2 linked regions of the Tamandua tetradactyla genome follow. The protein of the gene in region 2 binds, or shares a complex with, the protein of the main gene of each other region. Links are inferred from orthologs where the notes say so. Each region holds a gene or a part of one and is shown on either strand. Other genes may lie near its edges.

Region 1 (12,144 bases), on a different chromosome or scaffold from region 2:
GGATGCACAAAATGTTTTCTGGGAAAGAAAAGAAGACCTGGAGGGAGAAATGGGAGACAGGAGCCCAAGGAAGACCAGTTCCAAACCTGGCTAGAGGGTTGATCTGGCTGTGCATAGGAAGAAACAGTAGAGACCACGTCATGGGGAAACAAGAGTGGAGGAAGCGATAGACTGGAAACACTCAACACTGTACCATCAGGTTCTGCTCCTTCCCAATAAAACTGTGTGCCACTGCTGGGCTTAATGGAAATGAGAGTTGTGATAGATCCCAATGTCTAACAAGGGCACAGAAGGGAAGAGATATTTTGTATGCTATGTATTTGATATCCTTGCCCTCTCAGAGCCTACTTCAGGGGAGCTGTAGCCAGTTTTGGACCTACGATGCTCCCTGCTGGCAGAGTAGGAAAGATGAAGGAGTACCTGGGGAGCTGGTAAGAGTAGGAAAAGACTCAGGTTACCAACCCAGCTCATCCACTGGGCTCAGCTACTTAACTCACCCTTATTCTGCAGAAGAAGAAAAAACTTGGGGTCTGCCCCAGTGTGGAAATGAGAACAAACACAGTGTCCCAGTGAAGTGGAATTCTCAAATCTGACTTTCCATCAGAATTTTCTAAACTCAGTTTGGAAACTGGCTAAAAGTATATAATCCTTAGCACTACTTTCAGAGATTCTGATTCAGCAAGCCTGAAATAAGGACCTGGAATCACAAGTATTTGACAACAAACACATAAAATAGGACCAGAGTGTCACCCCATCTCCAAGGTGGTAACATGTGGTGCCAGGGAGACTACTAATCAGCTAGTAACACTGTCTTCAAGCCAAATTATCCAGGTGAGGATGAGAGGAAAAATGAGACTGTGAGGCAATAAACAGCTCCCAGCTAATCTTAACATGTGAGTACATTTTCATTACATGGTAATGAAAAGTGAACTCTCTAAAAATTTGTATCATCTTGTGACTTTGCAGCTTCCAGTTTAGGGCTTTGTTTTTCCTTTAGTTATCAGTAGAGCTGCTTTTAAAGAATTTGTCTTGGCCAACTTGAAAGAAAAGAGTATTGTGCACACCTAAGGCGAGCCCAAGTCTGGATGACAAAGTGTTGTCCTGAGTATAAAACAACCACTTCAACCTAGGCACTCTGACTTACTTTATTTCATCCCATATTTCCAAGAGTCCTGGAAATTAAAATTATCAATTTATAGACAAGGAAACTGAGGCACTCAAAATGTGACTGTTATTGCACAATTACACAGGAATATACGTGTTCATGAATGTGCCATCTGCTAATTCGTATTTGGTGAATGGATAGGCATTTTGACTGCTCAAATATTTTAATGAACCTGACTCCATACTGGTTGAGTAGAAAAGATGGAAGAGTAACTAGGGAAATGGTAGGAGTAAGGAAAATAACAACTGTTAATATATATTACATTTGAATAAATAACTTTTCAAAAAGTTCAAGAAAGATAAAATAATTTAATACAAATTCTCCTGAAATTAATTTAAACATTTTATTAAGCACCTAATACATATAAATTATTAGCCCTGTGAAAGATAGATATGAGTCAGCTCTTGTACTTATTCTTAAAGACTCAGTAATCTGTAGGAGATATAAGACAAATATACAAACAACCAAACTTCAAGCAGAATGTTCATTCATGAAAGGTATGAACAAATACTATTGGGATCTGTGATTATGAAGGTCAACCATAAATTATTTTATAGACAGGTAAAAGGCTGATTGCAAAATTCCCAGGCAGAATGCAGGACATTAGTTCTGTCTGTGAACTATATAATATATACATATTTATTTTTGCAAAATACCTTTACTATCCTCAGCAAAAGCAATGATTTCCCAATAACCAAAAAAAAAATGCCAGTCATATCCAGAAAGTGATTTTATTTAAATATTTTTGAACTGTTTTATGTTAACCATGCAGATCTCACTATTTCAGTTCTTCCTAAAATTAAGGATGGGGGGCAGGCAATCACCAAAGAATGTAATGCTCAGGAAAGTTAATGCAGAGAGGGTTTAATTTAGTCTTGCTTAGCATTACACTTATTTTGAAGGGTTGTTTGCATTTAGAGTACACAGTGCTGTAAATATAAAACCTTCCTTTGCCCTGACTTATAAGTTGTCATGGTGGCTAATTTAATATGCATCTCAATTCCTAAAACATTCAGGAAAAAAAATTATGTCATTATTTTTAAAAGGCTTAAGAAAGGAGAACAGAACAATTTGCAAATTCATTTAAGCTCTGTTAGACTTTAAAAAATTGTATAATTAATGCTTCCTATTTTGGTGAGCCTTTAATTTTTCTTACAGTGAAATGCAAGAAATCAAATCAAAGAGATTGAGCAAAACCTAACCATTTTTATTTATAGGTGCATTTATTAACTTGCTTTCTTTTTAAAAAAATGAACAGAACAGTAATTTTTTGAATGTTTGCTTTTTTCTGGTGTTGACAAGACTCCGGATCTTTTTGAAAATAACACTGACATTGCTAGGGAGGCAAATGCCCACCCAAAATACATACTGGCTATTAAAGGATCAGAGGTGGAATAATACATGAAGAGAAATTATTAAGGTGACAAGGACTTATTTCAAAAAATGATTTTGATTTAGGTTCTTAAGTGTTCTTAAAAAAGCAGGGTGTTATACTACAAAAACTCATGAGTTTTACAGATAGAAAACTGGAGATTATTATGGATGTGAGTCTAAGATTAAGTTCTCTGAATTTTAGTTTGCTTATCTGTCAAAGTCAATCATTCAATACATCATTTACAAAGTGCCAGGCACTACTCTAGGTACTAGGCATATGCTGTCAACAAATCCTTGCCATCATACAGCTTACATTCTAATAGGAAGGCAATTTATTTGTTTAAATTTTATTTGCTATAAATAAACAAATACATATTTTAAAATTTAATTAAATTTGTTTTATTTAAAGAATGTCAGATAGTGATAGGTGCTACAGAGAAACATAATGCGTGACAGAGTTTTCAAATAATGCTCAGGGCTCACTCAAAAAGGTAACACTTGGATAAAGACAAGAAGGGAAAGAGGGAGAGGGTCCTGTAATTATTTGGCATAAGCAATGGCCCTAAGGTAGGAACATGCTCTGCATGCTGAAGGAAGAGGAAGTAAGCCAGTGGCATTGATGCAGAGTGAGAGAGAAAGGAGAGAACAGTGGGAAATGAGTTCAAAGAAAGGAAGCTGAGGAGAGTTGGGACAAGGTCCTGTAGGACAACTGGATTTTAGAAGGGCTGTGGACTTTTCCTCAGAAATGGGATGCTATTGGAAAATCTGGAACACAGGCGGTGCTTGACCTGATTTATATCAGATGAGTATTAATCTCACAGGATCCCTTTGTGAGGACCAAACACAATGTGAAAGGATTCTATATTGGAAAGTGCTATACAAATGTGATGCATCTTAATCATATATGTAACTTTCTATGTGTCTTTTTCACCAGCTGTGCCAAACTCTTCTTCAGAACAAAACAGTAGTAAATACTAAGAGTAACTCCATTTCTATTACACTGTAACTAAGAATGTACAGAAGTTGTTTTGGCTTTTTGCTTGTTTGTTTTTAAATTAAACCACAAAAAAATTATATTTCAACATAAAATGAGGACAGTGTGGAAACCAATCTCACCACTAACATCAGTGAGTCATGAAATTATATGTGCTTAAGGAGCATTTTCTTTTAAAGTACCTTAAAAGAAAATGAGAAGTTCCACTATGGGTAAGAGGTAGGTGACTCTTCCGTTATCAAGATGGCCAACCAAATGAAATTTCTATCAAGTCAAAGGTTTTAATTATTGGCATATATAAAATGTATTCAGGAGAAATTTTCATTATTTAAATGAAGTATGTTGCAAACAGTACAAGTTAAATTATTGTACTACCCTTCTCTTACTGTGATTTAAACAACTCACCATCAACCATTTTTTTAAAGGTAATTACAGCAACTGAGGGACCTGTTAATTTGTGAAGAAAAACAGTGCCAAACTGAAACGAGTCTGGAAATGCAAAATGAAGGTACTTCCCCAGGTTCTTGGTCTGCTTTTCTTTTCTTCTTGATTTTGCTTGGTCACATCATCTGATCTGTGGCTATCACTATTGCCTATATGAAAATAATTCATATTCCTATCACTAACACCTAAACCCCCAAATTCAGGTTAACTGGACATTGCTGTATGGCATCCTGCCAGCAATAAATAATCTCTCCTAATTTTGATTAAGCCCAACAATTCTAAGCACTTTACTTGTATGCATTCATTGAATCTTAAAACCACCTTTTAAGGATGGACTATAATCTCTATTTTATAGCTGAAAGTTAAATAACTAACCTAAAGTCAAATGTTCAGTAAGAAAGGGAACCAGCACTGGAGCCTAGACACTTTTTTTGCTCCAGAACCGATGCCCTTTAACACTGCTGCACCAACAATTACTCAGCTTTGTACCTAAATCCAAGAGATACAAAAGTCATCATGTACTCTCCCCTAGTTCTCCCGCCTATCAGCCCTCACTGCCCTGCTCAGAGTGGAAAGTAACTTGAATTTCAGTCACCTAGCCTGAAAACTCAAGTCATCTCTCATGCAGCCCACCCCCAAAGTAGTCAAGTCCTGGTGAGCCCCCGCCTCCCTTCATGCCAAAATTTCACTGGGCACAGGCCACAGTGAACCCAGCCACGGAAAGGCCGCCTCCGGAACACTGCGGATGTGTCGATGTGCTTTCCCCAGGGACTCTCCCCCAAAATGCTCCGACCCCCGAAATGAACTTTCGCCACTCTCCAGCATCTCCGCACCCCCTCACGTTCCTCCAAGCCCCCCGCCCACCTCACAATCCTCTCTTCCTCCCTTGCGCCATGAACTAGCATTAGCAGCCTTTACCTGCTCCTCTGCTTCCGCCATGGTGCAGCCGGGGAGTCACATGACAGACCCGGAAGTGAGAAACCACGGCTAGTGGACCCCTGAGCCTACTGGGAAATGTAGTTTTACATTTTCTGGATTTCCCGAAGGAGAAGACTTAACCTGTCTTTTCTAACTGAAGAACCGACTGTTGAGAGTTATTCTACTTCCGGCCCTCCAAACCCATTCGAGTTTTGTGTTAGGGACACTGAACATATCCATCGTTAAAGCTATTACTTGTTTTATTGGTGTTCTTGCTGTTTCTGTGATTTATAATATTTATTAAGCAGTTACTGTATTAGTCCCGGAGTTTATAGCTCTGCGTGGATTATCTCATTTAACCCTCCCAGCATCTCTACTATTATCCCCATGTAGAGGTGAGAACACTGACTCAGAATAGGTGAGAACACTGACTCAGAGTTTATGCAGCTAGTGAGTGGCAGAGCTAGGATTAGAATTTGGCCCTAAGACTGTGTAATTACCAAATGTTGCTTAGTGTAAGAGAGTTCTTGGCTTTTTTTTTTCTTCAAGTAAATTAAATGCACAAAAAGCAGTCTGTGTAGTGGAAAACCAGAGACAACTTTATATCCAACAAATTTTTATTTCCTATTTCTAAGTTGGTGCCTTCTGGCATCTGGACATTGAAATTAAAAAAAAAAATTGTGTGTGCATATTAATTATTTATTAAACCTTCCTTGAGCATACTGTATAGGCAAATGTGCAAGATATAAATTTGTCCTGGGTTAAATATACAGCAATGGAAAAAAATCTGTATAGTCACTACATCACTTCCATCCTTTTGAATGCCCGATCCCTTCTCCATGTTTCTGAACTTTATGAGTTCTCCTTCCTAATCCTCAGGAATCTGCAGAATCTGAGGTCCAAAAAGAGGCATTTTGTTCTCCTACTCATCTCCAGTAGTTGGTAACTAGCAGAGGGCGTTGGAAATGACCAACTGTGGTGATAGTAGGATTAGGGGTGGGAGTCAGTTGAAATGCCTTATTGGAGGAAGATGCTGAGAGTCACCATCAACCCCACCCTAGGGCTGCTGCTCCATGATTTCAGGGCTGAATTTGCCATCTTTTCTTTTCTTGGGGGCTGGAGCTCCCTTTATATGCTGGTTGGGTCTTCTCCAAAATTCCTCAGGAACTAAATCCATGACCTACCACTCAGGTTCTGCTCTGGGGGACCTCCTGGAAGGGAACACACAGTAACCATCCATGCAGCAATGATGGAAGCTCGCTGTCCACTTTGGGCCTTCCTTCCATTCTTCCGGAATGAAAAACTTCAAACCTCTTTCTCATCCCAAAGAATATCTTATGGCCTGATTGAAACTGTGGCAATGTTTACCACAGAGAGAAATGATGATGCTCCCAGATGACTCAGCCTCTGAGAGTCAGATCCCTCAAGTCTGTCCCCCATTAGCGTCTTGACCCAAAAAAATAAGTTGAACATTGAATCCATTACTCTTTTCTTTTGGACAGACTGGAATAGTGATGAGACATGGGTATATGGAAAGATGAATTAGTGGAAGAATCTCTTTCCAGATTAGCAGGTTCTTCCTGGCCAGTGGGTGGGAGGTAATTCCCACATTACCTTCACACTTCATGTCCTCCCATGTGAAATGAAAGTTTGGGCTCCCTTATCTAGGAGGTCCTCCAGCACCTTGCTGCTTAAAGTGTGGCCCACAGACCAGCAACATTAGCATCATAACCTGAGAGTCTGTTAGAAATGTACAACATTGGGCCCTTCCACGGAGCTGCTGAACCAGAGTCTGGATTTTAATACTATACCGGTGTGATATATATGCACATTGATGTCTGAGAAATATCCAGCCTAACAGTCTTTAATTAGATGGCAAATAATCTGCTTCTTTCTTGGCCATTGTTTTATTTGCAAGCTGCCGGAATGCAATATACCAAAAATGGAATGGCTTTTAAAAGGAGGAATTTAATAAGTTGCTAGTTTACAGTTCTAAGGCTATGAAAATGTCCAAGTTAAGGCATCCAGGGAAAGATACCTTGGTTCAAGAAGGCCAATGAAGTTCAGGGTTTCTCTCTTAGCTGGAACAGCATGTGATGAAGTCTGCTAGCTTTCTCTCCCAGCTTCTTGTTTCATGAAGCTCCCCCAGGGGCATTTTCCTTCTCCATCTCCAAACGATTTTGGCTGCGTGGGCTCTAAAGTTTTTTCAAAACTGTTTCCTCTTAAAGAGCTTCAGCAAGCAACCCCACCTTGAATGGGTGGAGACACATCTCCATGGAAACCATCTAATCAAAAGTTACCACCCACAATGGGGTGGGTCACATCTCCATGGATAATCAAAAAGCTCCCACCTAGCAATATTGAATGAGGATTAAAGGACACGGCTTTTCTGGAGTCCACCACAGATTCAAACCAGCACACCCATCATCAGCTCACCTTTCTCGATCTTCAAAGCAAAAGTAAGAGCCAACTTCTCATTCTCAGTCCATAGGAGCCAAAACTATGAATAGATTTCAGAAACCAAACCTAATACCTTTAATGTGTAGAATGGTTCACTGGTTTAAAGGACCTGCCTCATAAGGTTATATAGATCTGAAACATTTTACTCATTCACTAAATTGTAGCTATTTTATTCATAAAAAATAGCCTTAAATAGTATGGATGACTTATATATATAATTTAGTATATTGCTAATTTTATGGTACTTGGAAAATTAGCAAAGTGGAATGATGGAGTAAAAAAAAAAATCACCCCAATATCCCTTCTAACTACATGCCGCTTTATTGAGAAATTCTTTTCTCAATCTCTACTTTCCATTGCTCCTTAGATTGCAAACTTTTCAATCAAAAGATCTTTCTGGGATAGACATTTTAGTTTTTCAAAAACTGTACCTACTAAACCTGTTACCTTCTAATATCCTAGATGTCATTTTAAGATCTAATTTACTGGAAGGTTCCCATAGCAACCACACTAGATTTTTTTAAAAACATTTTTCAAATTACAAAATTATGCATCCTCATTATAGAAGATTGGAAAAATACAAAAAATTAAGGAAATAGAATGATAAAAGCCACCAATAATTCCCCCTGATAATCATCGTTGGTTATACTTCTTTCTAGTGTCGCTCTCTGTTTATTGAAAGTTTTTCCTTAAAAAATTGTATCATGAAGCTTTGTTATCTGCTTTCTTCACTCAATCGTATTTCAGGATCATTTTCCAATAGCATTATAATATATTGTTCTAAAACATGGCTTTAATGGTATGCATTATAATTGAGTTCAGTAAAAATATCATAATTTATATCATTGATTTTGTCATATATTTAGGGCATAGCTAATTATATCTATAAATTTTGGCAGATGTGCCATTCAAAGGTGACACCAATTTATACTCCTGTGAATTGTTATGAAAGTTCTGTATCCTCTTTCTGTCAAATATTAGATATCATCATTTTTTGAAAACTTCATCAAACAGAACCAAACATCATTTGGTTCTGAAGCTGAGAAGAGTCAGCTGCTGGAGTTATATATTCTGAGATCTTCAGTGTACAGTTAGTATTTGAAGTGCAGGCAGACACATGAGGGGAGAAAAGTGCAGGCAGATGCATAAGAGGATCTCTGGGAATATATAAATTCATGGGAACATTCAATGGGTTGGAGTTTAGACTCGCTGTGGTGGTTCTGAAGTTAGGCTCCCACACAACTACTGTGCCATGATATGGACCAAGAAATTTCATTGCTAAAATAAAATGCTGATAGCATTTTCCCAATTCACAGGAAAAAAAAGTAGTAAGTTAATTTCTATTATTAATTCCATTTAGGGCTTTTCACCTATATGTTTTCTTGAAGTCTTTAAATTTTGCTATTTCTTAACCAGAAACAGACACTGGGAGACAATAGTGTATTTTTAAAATAGTAAGTGAAATCTTCATTAAAAAAAAAAAGCTATTATGCTCTCTTTGGCAGCTTTTAAAATAAACAAACAAACAAACATCTGCCCAGAACCTAGCATAGTTCCTGGCACATAATAGGAGCTCAATAAACATTTGTTGATGGAATCAATTAATTAACTTAACATTTCTATTTCATGATTTTTTCCCAAAAAGAACTACTATTTCTTGGTACCCTGCCACCTGAGTAACTTTCAGAGTTTTTTATCAGAAAATAAGGAGACATTGAAGATTTAGAGTGACGATGTTATGTGAAGAAGTTTAAGTCAGCACCAGTGGAAGGAATCAAAAGAAAAAGTGAGCAAATCTCATAAAACATATCAGAACACTTCATGGAGGAAGTGTATATATCAAGTGGCCCTTAAAGGGTGAGTAAGAAACTGTTGGTAGAAAGGAGAGGAAAGCGAAATATTTCATGTTGAGGAAACAAAATGAGAAGAGGCAAAGATGTGGAAAAGCACCTGAAAAGTCAGATATAAGAATAATTAGGTAAGAAGAGGCTAGGGTCTGTTGATATCAAACATAAATTTGTCTTAATTTGACAAGCAGTTATGGCAGGGAATGCTAATTGCCTACCTAATATCCATTCACTTCTTCTTTAATAAAATAGTGCCTGTCAATTTGGGGGCAGCAATTTGCTTAAATAAAAGAACTGCATTTCCTGGCTTCTATGGCAATTAGGCTGTGTGATTGTTCTGGTCAATGATAGATAATTTAAAGTGTTACCTGTGCCTTCCAAGAAAGCTCTGAAAGAAGGGACAGAGAGCTGGGGATATTCCTTTTGTTCTTCCTGCTACTAGATCCTCCGACAACCATCTAAGCTCACAGAGGTGGTCTTGAGGATGGTAACCAAGCAGTAAGGATGAAGCAGAAAGATAGAAGGAGCCTGGGATCCCAATGACTTTTCGGAGCCACCATGCCTGCTCTGAATACCTGCCTCCAAATTTACCTCAAGCAAAAGAATAAACCTTTGTGTTATTTGGGGTTGTCTGTTACACAGTCAGACTCAATCTTAACTGATACAGTGGAAGAGAACCATTGAGGATTGTCGAGATTAGAAATGACTTGAATACAAAGGCATTACTTACTGCACGTTTTCCTACTTGCAAACCTGCAAACAAGAGAAAGGAGAAAAGGAGAGAATGCATGTGCATGGTATGGAAAGAGAAAACTTTTATTTTAGGAAGTATTTTTAGACTGGGATCTTTGGACAGAGGGACAAATGCACCAGGATGCAAATTTGTCACAGGCTCTTTCTTGTTCAGTGTAATGTTTTAAGAGCTTGAGAATCAAGCAGATCAGGGTTGAAATCCTATCTGTGGCCTTCACAGTACTCTCTTGGGCAAGTTAACTTTTCTAAGCTGTCAATTTAGTCAGTAATGTCTTCCTCCCGGTTGTGAAAAATAAATGAGAAAATGTGTATTTTCATTTATGTTATAAATTAGAGTTTATATGTAATTTGACATATTAAAATTATAATTAATTATAATTTAATAAACTATCAATTGAATTAAATATGGATTTAAAAGAATAAATGTAAATTTATAGTTTATTTATGTTATAATACATTTTTTATTTTTGTTGTGCTGCTATTGTGTTTCCTACACTTGAATATGCGTATAAATATTGCATCCTTGCTAGGTTCCTTTTATCATGATCCTCACCTATATATAGGCTGTGACCGCTCTCTAACCTTCCTTCTTTCCATGCCAAAGAAAGATGGAACTTGGGGGTTTGCAGACTTGTCCCTAACGTAATTCTTGGAGGAAACTTCTATGCAGGAATTATCAGAAGACTCCCTTAGAAATAAAGTAAGACTATTTACTTTATTGTATTTTGTATTGTATTCTATGTATTGTATTTATGTATACTACAGCTTAAAGAAAAAAAAAGTTATTTTCTGTACGCTTATAGAGAGTTTACAGTCGTACCTTGACCAAGTGAGGGTGGAAAATCCTATCCATTTCCCATTTCCGTGATCATTTTCCATAAGTGATCATCAGTTTGTTTGTTAGTTCTTCACAGCTTTGAATTTCTAGAGGAGGTGGGGAGAAGAAAGGCAATAGCTAAGTGACCTGCCCCAACACTTCTCAGTAATAGAGAGAAAAGAGGCCCCAGGAGGGTTTTATCCTGCAGCTATTTTGGTGACTTTTTTCCCTTCATGTTTTCCCTTAGAGGGAACTACTTATGAGTTTTAAAAATAATTTGTCATTTTTTCCCTTATCATAAATACAATTCCTCATAAATAAATACAGAGCTACATACTTGTATAGTCTTTCATCGAATTAAGTACCATAATTTGTATAGTCAATCCCCTATTTTTGAATATTTAGGGTTCTTTCGATTTTTCACAACTATAAACTATGATGTAGTAAATATCACATCTTTGTGCCCTTGTCCAATTTATGAATATTTCCTTAGAAAAAGTATAGATGTGAAGTAACTTGGTCAGAGAACTTTGAAGGTGTCTTAAAAATTCCTTGGAAGTATCAGGAATTTCGAAATTCTTGGAACAACCTTTTGGAAACTCTAATGTGGTAATTTTGAAAAATTTAGAAAATATTTTATTCATCCTTTGGATTCCTGTTATAAGTGTAAGCAACAAATATTTCAAAGACCATCTGTTTGGGTTTTCCCCAGACGTAGACCGTTTATATACAATCCATTTACTGAACTTCCTTCATATTTTTGACAGAAAAGCACAAAGCTAATATTTTAACTTAAAGCAGGAATCCAGCCTGTTCAGAATCCAGGTGTTTAGTTGTGTCCAGAAAATGTATTATTTTATAGAGAGTCTTTCATTTTCAATCAAAATTTTGAAAGAAAATACTTAAGCACATCTTGTCATTGGATCACAATAATATTTGTGAAACAAGGTCCATTTTTCAGCAAGAGTCCAATTTCAAGGTATGTTTGTGGAAGCAAGAGTCTTTCCCTTCTGTATATCTCAAGCCCTTCAAATATAAAGACACTAAAAATTGAAAAAGAAGAGGAAGAAGAGAGAAGAGAAGGGGGAAGGATTTGCTGCACTAAATGAAAGCAAGGGCGATCCCCATATTGTTTTCCAAAAATCTAAATAATGGGTATGTCAATTGATTGAAACTTAATATTCACTCTTTCATATAAACAATAATATAAATCTTTTCTGGCCAGCCCACAGAAGCCTATTTAATCTGCAATGCAGTTGACTTTACATGTTACAAAAAAATAGGAGGACACATTACTATTGCTGTACCAGTTCTTGGAAGAAACCAAACTTAGTCACTGGAGAGTTTTATTTATACTTTATTGTGTTTCTGT
Region 2 (12,134 bases):
TTATCACATATACGGAGTATTTGTAACAGTTTTCTTTTGAAAAGCATAAGCACCACAAGCACACACATTCCTGACCTGCAACATTGTAAGGAAAAGTAGTGTGACATTCAGATATACTAATGGCACAGAAACTCGAATAGGTTTGATTGGGTTTATGGACATCAGTGGGAGCTCAGGCCTGAGGACCTGAGCCCTTTTAGTCCTCCACTAAGACATGTCATCATATAATGCAGCTGTGTGTGCACAATAGCGAAGAACAAGCCTGTAGAGTGGACACAGCATGGGATAAATAGTGCCTTCTTAGAGCCAATACTACATATGAGACTGTGGAACAATCCACACAAATGTGTAACACACACAGGGTCAGGCCTAGAAAATTCCTGGCAGCCTAATCTGGAACAGAAGGTTGGATTTGATCCCTCCTGGGAAGTAAGGCTGGACCTTCCTATTCATAATTAACCTATTGAAGCTTCAACTAACAATGCAACATGGTTGAACCTCGTGTAATAATTCCATTCCTGGCTCAACATTAGCCACTGCAGGGAATGCAGAGATGAATAAGGCCCTCTCTTCTTTGGTCATATGGCAAAAAAAACAGTGATTGTCAAAGCATGAGCCCATTATCAGCTGCATCAGAATTACTGGGTCTTGTGAAAAATGCATGTTCCTCACTTAGGGGATTATATAAGATTCTACAAAGGCTCCATGCATTAGGGTAACTTTCCAGAAACCTAAAACCTCCAGATGGGTCCCTGGACAAGAAAAATCCTGAAACCTACAGAGGCCAGTCTCTTCTGAACATAAACTAGTTCTATCTCCCGACCCCATAATATTATCAGCCCCTTCCAACATGAAAAACTTAGAATGGGCATAGCCCAAATACCCCTAAAGAGCTGGAGAAAGATCAAAGGTGATGGTAGAGTTATATAGAGAAGGTAGGGTTTAACAAACAAGTATGACTGTTGTATCATTACACTGGTATGTCTTTTAGTCTCCAGTATCTCAGAGCAGCTAGAAGTAAAAACTTAAAATTGTGGAATTATAGCCCATACCAAACTCAGAAATCTGTTCCATGACTAATTGTTGCGATGTGCTTGGAAATTTATTGCTTTTTTGTATATACATTATTTTTCACAAAAAAGAAAAAAAAGTCTATGGTGATGATTAAAAAAAGTATTTATTCCTTCTTTCCTCCAATGTTCTGGAGCAGTTAGAAGGAAAAATCTGAGATGATGGTATGATAGCCCATGAAAAACTCTAGGATCTATCCTGTAACTACTTGTTGAAGAGTGCTTTGAAAACTACTGTTTTTTTGCTTTGTATATACTCTGTTATATTATACAATAAAAAAAAGCTTAAAAAAACTGCATGTTCCTGTGCACTGTTCCCAGAGATTGTGATTCCATGACTCCAGAGTGGTACCCTGAAATCGGCATTTTTAAGCTTAATTTTTATGTTTTTCAGTTATATGAAACATTTATGTAGTTCTAAAACTAAAACTATGAGAAATCTAGGTTCTATCCTTGTCCATTCCACCCTGTTCCCGCTTTTCTGCTACAGGTAGCCTTTTAGTAATTTTTGGTTTATTCTTCCATTGGTTTATCTATTTGGCTCATCCCTCCACTGTTTCTTTTGAAAACTTAAGTATTAATATCACATGCACACAATATGCATATATACAGACACGCAGAAAAAAAAAAAACCCTGCGTTTTTTACAGGCTCTGATGTACATAAAGAATTGGGAAACAAACTCTAGAACTAAGACATGATTTACTGGCTATGTGATCTTGGAAAAATTAAATTCTCTAAGCCTCAGGCTTTTCCTCTGTAAAATGGAGTTACTTTTATTACATAAATGCCCTTAGAAAAAGAGCTAACAATACAGATCAGTACTCAATAAATGGAAGCTATTAATACTAATATCATTTTCATTCATTAATTAAACAAATATTTAATGACTATTCATTATGAGTGAGGAACTGTTCCAGGCCCTGAGGATACAATAATGTATAAAACAAAGTTCCTGCTTTTAAGGAAATTTATTCTAACGTGAAGTGGCAGTTAGATTCAGTTGTCAACTTGGCCAGGTGAAGGCACCTAGTTCTGTTGCTGCAGACATGAGTCAATGGTTCGTGAACCTCATTTGTTGCTAATTACATCTGCAGTCAGCTAGGAGGCGTGCCTGCTGCAATGAATGACGTTTGATTTAATTGGCTGGTGCTTAAATGAGAGAGCGCAAGGTAGCACAGCCCAAGCAGCTCAGCATACCTCATCTCAGCACTTGCAGCTCAGCCCAGGCCTTTGGAGATGCAGAAAGGAATCACCCTGTAGAAAGTTGTTGGAACCCAGGGGCCTGGAGAGAAGGCCAGCAGAGATTACCCCGAGCCGTCCCACGTAAGAAAGAACCTCAGATGAAAGTTAGCTGCCTTTCCTCTGAAGAATTAACAAAATAAATCCCCTTTTATTAAAAGCCAATCCATCTCTGGTGTGTTGTATTCTGGCAGCTAGCAAACTAGAACACGTGGAGTGAGGGAGATAATAATTAAATATATGAAATAAAATTAGGTGGTGATCCATGAATAAGAGGAAAAGGCCGAGGAAGGGAATTGAGCATTGGCAGATGTGTCATTCTCTTTTATATAGGACAGTTAGGGAAGGTCCCACTGATTTAGGTAACATTTCAGCAGACACCTGCATGAAGTGAGGGATGAACCACAAGAGGAAGAGAGTGCCAGGCAGAGGAAAGAGCAAGTGCAAAGGCTCTGAGGTAGCTCTGTACTTTGTGTATTCATGAAACAGCAAGGAAAACTGTGTGTCTTGAACTAGGAACAAGGAGTAAGAGTAAATTCAGGGAGGCCAGATCATGCCAGGCGTTGTCAGCTGTAATAAGGACTTAGGAATGTATTCTAGTTGTAGTATGAAGTCCCTTGACCGTTTCGAGCAGAGGAAAGATGTGATCAGATGTAAGGTTCAAAGGATGACTCTATCCCTGGGTGGATAAAAAACTGAAAATAGCCCAAAGGTAAATACAGGGTGATCAGTTGGAAGACTACTCAACACAGGAGATCAGTAACTCAAGGAAGAGATGATGGTGCTTTTGTCAAGAACAGTAATAGTGGATATGGAAGGAAGTGTGGTTTTTTTGGTCTGAGCCAATTAGGTAAACAGAAATGCCATTTGCTGAAATGTGGAATACTGGAGAAGAAGCAGGTTTGGGGGAAGAAGAGTAAAGAATTTCATTTTAGACATGTTATTAGACATCCAAATGAAGATGCTGAAAAGGCAGGTGGTTATAAACAAGTCTGGATTCAGTGTCCTTATTTCCATTTCCCAGGAGATGGCTTATGCATCTCTAAGAAGTCTTTGAGCTCAAATATTGTCTGGCCCTCCATATTCTGGTTCCTGGATGAACTTTTCATCTAAGGGCACAGAATAGGTAACAGGGGTGATGATTAGAAATAGCAATGTTTATTACTGCTAAAGTCTAAAAATAAAGCAGTTCAGAGGTAGGAGACAGTAAATGGCCTTTTGTAGCCCAACACCTACCATAGCACCCTAGGAGGCAAAGGGCATTTCTCCTGTTTCTTGGGAGATCATTGAAGGACAAAAGCTACAGGCCATTTCAAAACTGTGTTCCTGAAATCTTTACTGTGATGTAGTAGAGTTGATAAGGGAGGCTATGAGATATCTGCAATGATGGTCCCATAGAATATCAGTGTGAAGGTACTGAGTAGAGCAGCAATTTTAGGAGAGAATTTCCTATATACACATCAGGATTTTGATAAGTCAAGTCAAATGTACTAAGTAACTCTACCATTCCTTTTCAGAAGCATATGTCCTAAACTGAGTTGGGTGCCCCTCCTCCATGCTACCATAACAGGCTACACATATCTCTAGTATTGTCTATCATCTATTATAATCTGTTCATGTGTCTGTGCCCCCCACTGTTTATTCCAGGAGCACAGTTATTGTTTCCTATTCATCCTTGTATTGCTGTCCTAGCAGAAATGGGCTCACACAGGCACCAAATACATATATGATGAGGGAATGGAAGACTAAATCCCTTTCTGCAATGCCAGGTTTTTCATTTTATTTTATTTCTCTTTTTCTTCTCTATTTCTATTTTTTACTGAGAACATTTAATGACATGAAACAGAGGTTTTCTTGAAATGCCTGGAGAAAGCAGGATTCTCTTCTTAATCCAAAAGACTAGGACAGCTTACTGTAAAGACCTGATTTTAAAGAGGCCCAAGGCTGCTAAAGATGGGAGAGGCAATATTAACATGAAGATTTGTGGGGGGAAAAGCTTACTGAAGAGAATCAAGAGCTCTGCAAGAAATGACTAGGTGGCACTGTCAAGAGATGATGCTGAGGGATGCCAGTCACCATCTAGATTCCACCAGGACTATTGTGGGTTCCTAACTCAGTATAAAATCCCATGAAGGATTCTGAGTTTCCCATTTAAGGTCCTTCACTTCTAGGATTTTGGACACTGACAAGAAAGATTAAAATGATTTCTGCTTGGTCTCTGATGGGTGTTAACAGACACAACCATTCATAAATAAGAACACAGTAAGAGCACAGTGTTCATAATTAAGAATCAAGCACACAAGAGATACCTGATTCTGCTTTCTGCACGGCTAATCCAAAAAAAATTATGCAAGTTTTTATTGGCAGGGTCTCATGGCAGTACAAAATGATGTTCTACCTACAGAGTTAGGGAACTTGGGCATTCTGGATATAAAGCAAACAATACTTGCTTAGAGTAAGACTTCAACAATAACAATGTTAGTTATCCAAAGGAATGTGAAGTGAACGATGACCTATCATTAAGGGAGGGAGGCGGTGGAAGTATATGATATAGGAATTTGAATGGTGACCAAAACAACAAAAAGTGTCGTCTTTCACCTAGAAATAAATGGATAAGTTCAGGCCCTTGACAGGCTGAGAACTTCCCACCGCATTATTCCTCCAAACTGAAAACTTCTTGGAAATCGAACTGGGCCAAAACTGAGCACCATTTACAGGGAAAGCTCAACCTCCACTCTGAAAGGGCAGGTGGAACTTCTCTAAAATGTCTGAGTCCCTGGGGATCTCCCAAGCGGTCCCACCGCCCTCGCTGTCTACAGCCCACAGGGCTATCACATCTCCGCCCTTCCTCATCCCGGGCCCCCCTTGGAGAGCGTCCGAGCGGAGCCCACAGGGCCAGACGCCTGACCACTTCCCCAGCGACACGGAAGGTAAGGGCCACTCCCGCGTGACCCCACTCTGCGCCGCGGCCCTTCGGCTCACCCCAGGCAGCCAGACAGTCGATCTGCAGAGGCAGCTTTTCTAGGATAGGAACTGGCTCGAAGGCGTCATGCATGGCGACGGGAGAGTCGGCGCCGCAGCCGCCTCACCCCGAGGGGGTCGGGCCAGGCCAGGGGCGGGCACCTCGCCCGGAGAGCTTAGACCAGAATCCGGCCAGGTACCCCAACTAAAGGCCCTTCAGCAACAGAGCCAGCATCAACTCCGGACTTCCTGCTGGATTAAGCCCGCCCTTTCCGCCTTGAAATCCCTCCTCTTCCGCCCTGGCTCCAATCTACCCTCAAAAAAGTGCCCGGGCCGGGTTTCTTTTTCCTGCTAGCTCAGAGCTTTTTCCTCGTAGGTCTTATTAGCCATAGGCTTAACAAGAAGGGACAGTAATCTTAATGTCGTAACTGTCTTAGGCATTGTAGCTTGGGCTTTGGCGTCAGCCACCCCTGGGATGGAGATGTGCCATTTCGGAAATTAGATGTCTTTTAGGAAATTGATCTCTCAAGTCTTTTTTCCTTATCTGCAAAATGAAGGTAATGTTACGCACCTTCGATTTGTTGTAAGCGCTTGGCAACTCTTGAGACTCTAAGCATTCAATAAATGGTGTATTAACCATTCCCAAATAATTTACCTTACCACTGTATTTTGAACGTTGTCCTAAGCCAGTGGTTCTCAAAGTGCGGTCTCTGGACCAGCATCACCTGGAAACTTGCCAGAAATTCAGTCTCAGGACTCATTCTAGCCCTATTATAACATAATCTTTGGGAATCCAGCAATCCGTGTTTTAATAAACCCCTAAGGTAAGTGCACACCCTCTCAATCTTGGGAACTACTGTTCTAGGCCAGGGTTTCTCAAATGCAGCACAAGTGACATTTAAGGCATAATTAGGTTGTGAGGGACTGTTCTATGCATTGTAGGACCATTAGCAGCAACTTCAGCCTTTACCTACTAGATGCCAACAACATCCTCGCCCCAGTTACAATAAAACATTTTCAGACACTGTCAGATATTCCGGGAGGGGGGGGGGGGGCGGAATCACTCCAGCTGAGAGCCACTGTTTTAAGCCAATACTTCTTAATGTGCATAGGCCTGGAGATCTTGTTAAAATGTAGATTCTGATTCAGTAAGCCCAGGGTAAGCCCTCACTGGTAATTTCTTACAAGCTCCCAAGTGTTTTTGATGCTATAGGTCTTTGGACCACATTTTGAGTAACAAGAATTGATTCAGTAACCCTTCGGAGTCAGCAAAATAAATGGCTTTTAAAATTGCTCTTCTCATTCTCACCAATTTGACTCTCTCAAGCTTTGTTTTACATCTTGATATTCCTTTTAGGGAGGTAAGAGACATAGCTCTTTCCTCCTATTGGTCCTGTGCAGTATGAGGTATTCCCTCTGGAGACTTAAGTACAAGAACAACAATAAAACTAAGTTTGAACTTGCCTTCCATGCGGGACACCCGGGTTCAATTACTAGACCATGTACCCCACCAAAAAAAAACTAAGTTTGAGCTGCAAGAATAATCTGTAACTGGCAATTTCCCCTGAAGAAAAGATCAGGTACATTACAAAATTAAGCATTTTGGTTTGAAGCAAAAATGTAAAAGAAAAAAAGGTTGTAGTCTATGATATAAAGTCAGAAAACTGGTACTGGTGCACTTTATTTGTATACAATGTCAGTTTTTCATCTGTACATAAGGAATACCTATCCCATCATTACCAAATGCTGTTTGTGAGAATCAAAATATTTTCAAGTTGTGAGAAATGTAGAGAATGCTAAACAAATCTTATGTTATGGCTGATTTTCATCATAGGTAACTGCCTTCTTGAAAATTTAGAATTACTAGCTACGATGCTGGAAGAAAGCCTAACACCTTTTAGTTCCAGGCCCAAAGGCCAAGACCTATGTAAACAATATAACCTCAAAGGTAACAGGTCATTGGGGGACTGTAAATTCTTTTGAACCTGTCCTAAGAAGTGATATGCCATATCCAATCCCAGTAACATAGTAAGCCCTGAGAAAAAGCTATAGAATTTGTACTGTTCAATCCTATTTGACAGAATAGATTTTTGCCTCAAGTAAACATCTACCAGCCTCAAAAAATATTTGAACCAACTCTCAGCTGCATTATAACTATTATTCACCTGCTAAGTTTGAATCTGCAAGAGCAGAAGAATACATGACAGTAACACCAGCCTTTTTCTAATAAGTTAGCATGAAAATATAATCAGCTCTTCAGACTGTCTGTTCCTTAAAGGTATAACCTAGGTGATTTTTTTTTAAATCACTTTAGTAGAGAGTTATAGAGAAATACTACATAAATATTAACACTTTCACTATAGTATGTGTTAGGGCATTAGTTAATGTGGTTGGTCATTGGATTCTATTGAAATTAGGACTACCTAGAATAAAAGTCACGGAAGGAAAATTTCCTCAAGAAGGAAACTGGGAGAAAGAAGGATCTTCAGAGAATACTGTGAAAAAAATGAGAAAAATATATTCATTTTGTTAAAATTCTTTATATTAAAAAGTGGCATGAACTTTTTATGTAGAACAAAAATCTTGGGAAGGCAAAACTGGATAAAACCATTAAAACAGAAATATAATGTTTCAAATGAATCCCATCACCTTGTGATGCCTCTTATAAACAGTTTCGAAACCAACACCAGATATAAGGACTATCAATCCTAAAGAATGAGCAGCAGTCCAGGGCCTCCTCATGCAGGGATAATTGCTTAAATGAAGCCAGAAGGACCTGTTACCTTTGTAGTTAGTTCCCACTTGTAAAGCAATACAGTCCCTCTAGCAGGGTGTTCACTCACAAGCACTTAGATGGGAGCACCTCTCTGGACCTACAATGAATGGCATTGCCTGTGCCGCCAGAGTGCCACCCTGGAGGCTTACAAAACAGTAGTTAAAAGTCCTGGAGTGTGTACCTGCACCACATTGCCAGCAATGGGATGTGTCACAATAGCAGATGTCAAAAGAGTTAAGCTAATATTTCTCTCTAAATTACATCTGAAATAGAAAAATCTTCAATATACACCATTTGTAAACAAAATTGCACTTGATTTTGTTGTTTAGACAATCTGAATCACACTGTAACAGTTTCTCTCTCCCTCTTTTTTCTTTTAATCATTGATAGAAACAGGGCTCTTTAACTCAGAAGGGCCCTTTATTCTTAAAACCACCGCTGCCAGTTGTAAACCCTGACTCTACAGGAAACTGAAAAGGCAATTATCAATTTCCCCCATCACCTACTAAAGTCCCTAAATAAATAAAAATCACTGGCAATTGCTCCTGAAGACTGCATTATGGTTTTGATGTCATCGTCCTTTAGAAGATGTTAAATTTTTAGTTTGACAGATTAAACAACTGAAACATTATAGAAGATTCAGGAACAATACACATAAATTTGCATAAACATCCACGTTCAGTGTGTGGGAGGGAAAGGGGCATCAACATTGTAAATAAGAAACTTGTAGGTTTTTCTCATCCTATGAACTTCTTTTCAACAAGATGTTCTCCTTGTTCTGACATCTCTTGCCAGTTCTAATGCAAAACGATCAAGGAACAGATCAGGATGTCATTGCCTCCTTTAACTCCATGGAACAGTGGTAGAAACCTGACACAGAAGCTGATCTCTTCCCTAATAATGAGCCATCTTCAACTGCAAATACCCCCAGTCTTTACTCCATTTTGGACCTTTCAAAGTGTGTAATCATTCGTTCCTAGGAAAAAAAAAAAAAAGGTTAATTCTAAGTATATTAATTAACAGCTGTTTACATTTCAAGTATCTTCTATACATACCATGACACACACATTTCCCACAAATACTTATTTATGTTACTTAAATATTCATTACAAAGGTTCCTAACCATACTTGAAGATTTTGAAACAACAAATGACCAAACCATACACAAGATCAACTGAATCAAAATCTTTGGGCCTCTGGACGTCAAGCCACAAATGAAAAGGAACTGTCAGACCAGGATAATGTGACATATATTTATTTAAGATTGAGCTTTTATAAAACTGTACCTCTTCTGACTGAAGAATTTAAACTTTAGCCACAAGTATGTCCACTACAACAGTCAGCAATATAGAAAAAAATATAAGAACTAAACGTCCAAAAATATAGGACTGTATAAACACATTATGGTATATCTGTACAATGAAATATTATATACTCATTGAAATTAAATTTGATTATAAAATAGTATTTACAGTATCTCATTTCCATTAACAAAAATTATATGTACTACTATTTCCTTTCCTGTCCTATTTTTTTATATATATTTTTCATTTTCCCTTGAACTAAGTACTTATCACAAATTTATCCCAAAATCCAGATGAAATGTAAATCCCTTTTTAATATGATCAATCATATCAAGTATCATATAAAGTATCCTGTTCACTTTTTTCTTAAAAATACCCTTTCTGAAACTCTCTTCTGCTCTATTCTAGACTGGTCAGTCTTAAAAACTGTTGCACAACTGTCACCCTTGAACTTTCTTATATCACCACCATGAAAATTATCCCTGCCTCTGTTTTATGTTGGATCCTTTATTTCCTAGATTTCAAGCCTTCTTGCTTAGTTGATTTCCTCAGTTTTATAGAGAACGTTTTCCACCATTTTCTTCAGAAAGCACATGTAAGATATCATTTTTTAATTTTTTTCCCATCTGAAAGCATCTTTATTTTACCCTCATGGTAAAATAGTTACTAGGTTGAAAATAATTTTCCTCAGAATTCAAAGACATTGTTCTATTATTTTCTGATTTCCAAAGTGATTTTTGAAGAACGTAATGATGTTTTCACTCTTTCATGTAACTTGATTCTCTTGTAATTTATTTAAATTCTTTTTCAGTTTTAAAAAAGAAAGACCTTCCTATTTATTGGGTATTCGTGCAAAGTCTTGCATAGCTTGTTCACACAGGAAAATATGAAGAGATGCGTAAAGTCACCTCTGAAAGTACTATAGTAAACCTGTATTCCCAGGAATGGCATAATTTGGTTTCACGAAGTCAGACCTCTCTGGGTAAAATATAGAGCTAAAGCCATAAGGAAGCACTGAAAATAAACGATTAGCAGAGGAAAGCCCCAAAAGGAAATACTACAGATATAACATGCAAGATGCTCTGAGAACTACACACCACAGAAAGCAAGATGTTATATTGGTAGGTTTAAATCTGAATGACAGGGTTTAAAATTATTTCAATACATACAACAGTGAAGGAATGTGACACTGTTTTCTGCATCACATAACAGGTCAGTAGGAAATGCACAAACCATTTTAACAGCAACCAGTCCTAACACCTTGAGTATGAATCAGGCAAGATGCTTCCAACTGGCTTTCTAAAATCAAAAGGTTTTGAAATGAGCTAGTATTCAGATTCTGTCTAGAACAAGTTCCCATGAACCCAGACTACAATTCTACATAAGACTTCATTTGAAGCTGTCTAGATGAATCGTGTGGAGGTATATTAAAAGTTAACAACATCAGTGGTATCAACTATAATTCTAAAAACCTGAAGAGAACAGTGACATAATTTAATTACTAACCTCATCTGAATCCAGAAGGGCTGGAAGTGCTCTGCAGAGAGAAAAAACACCAAACTGGACAATGTAAAATAGAGTCATAAATGGTTCATAAAGGACAGCAGAATAATGAATGCCACGTGATACTTTTTTGTAATTACCTAAGATTTATATCTTATTAATGGCCCCTTCAGGAGAGAAATAAAAATAACACAAATATAAGAAAACAAACAAACAAAAAACCCCACATATATATCCTACATTCTAATAGGGCCAATATTTCATGAAAATTATAGTCCTGGGAAGGAATTCAAAAATTGTATTCCCACTGATCTCAATAGCTAAATCTTTCTAAGAAGAATTATCCTCTGAACAAATAATTCCATATACTTTGGTCTATATATCATTACTAATCTTTTAATTATTTATTTCTTTTAATTATAAGCATTCTCATTCCTATGTTTCTCAGCCAATGTATGTATAACAATAAAACGAGTACTAACTATAAAACAAGATTCTTGTGGTAATGATTCAAAAACTTACACATCTGTCACAGAAGAAGGAACATTCTCTTCTACCCACTTCAAATCATCTTCCTGCTGGGAACATACAGGTACCAGTTGTTAGTAAACTGCACTAAATAATAACTCTCAAGTAAGGATTTAAAGAGATCTTAACATTTTTAAATTTAATCTTTTGCTATTCTGTGTAGTACATTCACGTAACAACTGGGACTGCTAACAGAAAAGTCAAATAATTTAATTTTAAAAACCATATAATAGAAATATAAAATGATGCTCTGCATAATTAAATGTTCTTTTCTCAATGGCCTAACCCTGGGAGTTTGCTTCAGGCAGGCTTTGTTCTTTAAAACCGAGATAAATTTGAAAGCCCTTACTGTAGAGTGGATGCATAGTTCTAAAACAAATGCTGACTGAAAAAAATCCTTGGGCCTTGTTAATGAAACTATGACTTCATTAATGAAGACTGACAAAAAAGAACCATCAGATTGGTCTGGTATTTTTTCAATATATAGCAACAAACCATCTAATTAAAGACAACTAGGCCTCAGAATCACTTGTGCCTGTTCTAAAAAATGTTAAGGGAACATCTATCAAAAATATTTCTAAACAAGCATAATCATAAATGTATACAAAAATCCTTAAGGCCCATGCAACAGAACTAATGAGCTTCACTAAAGGCTGGGGGACAGAGCAAAGACAAAGGAGGAATATAAGTCATAGTTACTGCTTTGTTCATTTTACTGTTTCCATTTGGTTCTTGTTTGGTACTTCTCATT

Evidence for each region.
Region 1: VPS39 (region 2) and VPS41 share a complex: the UniProt entries of both Homo sapiens proteins name them as parts of the homotypic fusion and vacuole protein sorting (HOPS) complex. The link is inferred for Tamandua tetradactyla from reciprocal best matches to the Homo sapiens genes VPS39 and VPS41.

Annotation. Positions count from the first base shown.
Region 1 is NC_135327.1:83,172,695-83,184,838, reverse strand, and holds the start of VPS41 (vacuolar protein sorting-associated protein 41 homolog), read right to left. Parts: upstream 4,943-12,144; 5' UTR 4,917-4,942; coding exon 4,896-4,916; intron 1-4,895. UniProt on the Homo sapiens protein: Plays a role in vesicle-mediated protein trafficking to lysosomal compartments including the endocytic membrane transport and autophagic pathways. Acts as a component of the HOPS endosomal tethering complex.
Region 2 is NC_135340.1:55,955,722-55,967,855, forward strand, and holds the start of VPS39 (vam6/Vps39-like protein), read right to left. Parts: upstream 5,557-12,134; 5' UTR 5,367-5,556; coding exon 5,294-5,366; intron 1-5,293. Other genes in the region: TMEM87A (transmembrane protein 87A), read right to left, coding at 8,983-9,024, 10,859-10,889, 11,378-11,433, 12,083-12,134. UniProt on the Homo sapiens protein: Regulator of TGF-beta/activin signaling, inhibiting SMAD3- and activating SMAD2-dependent transcription.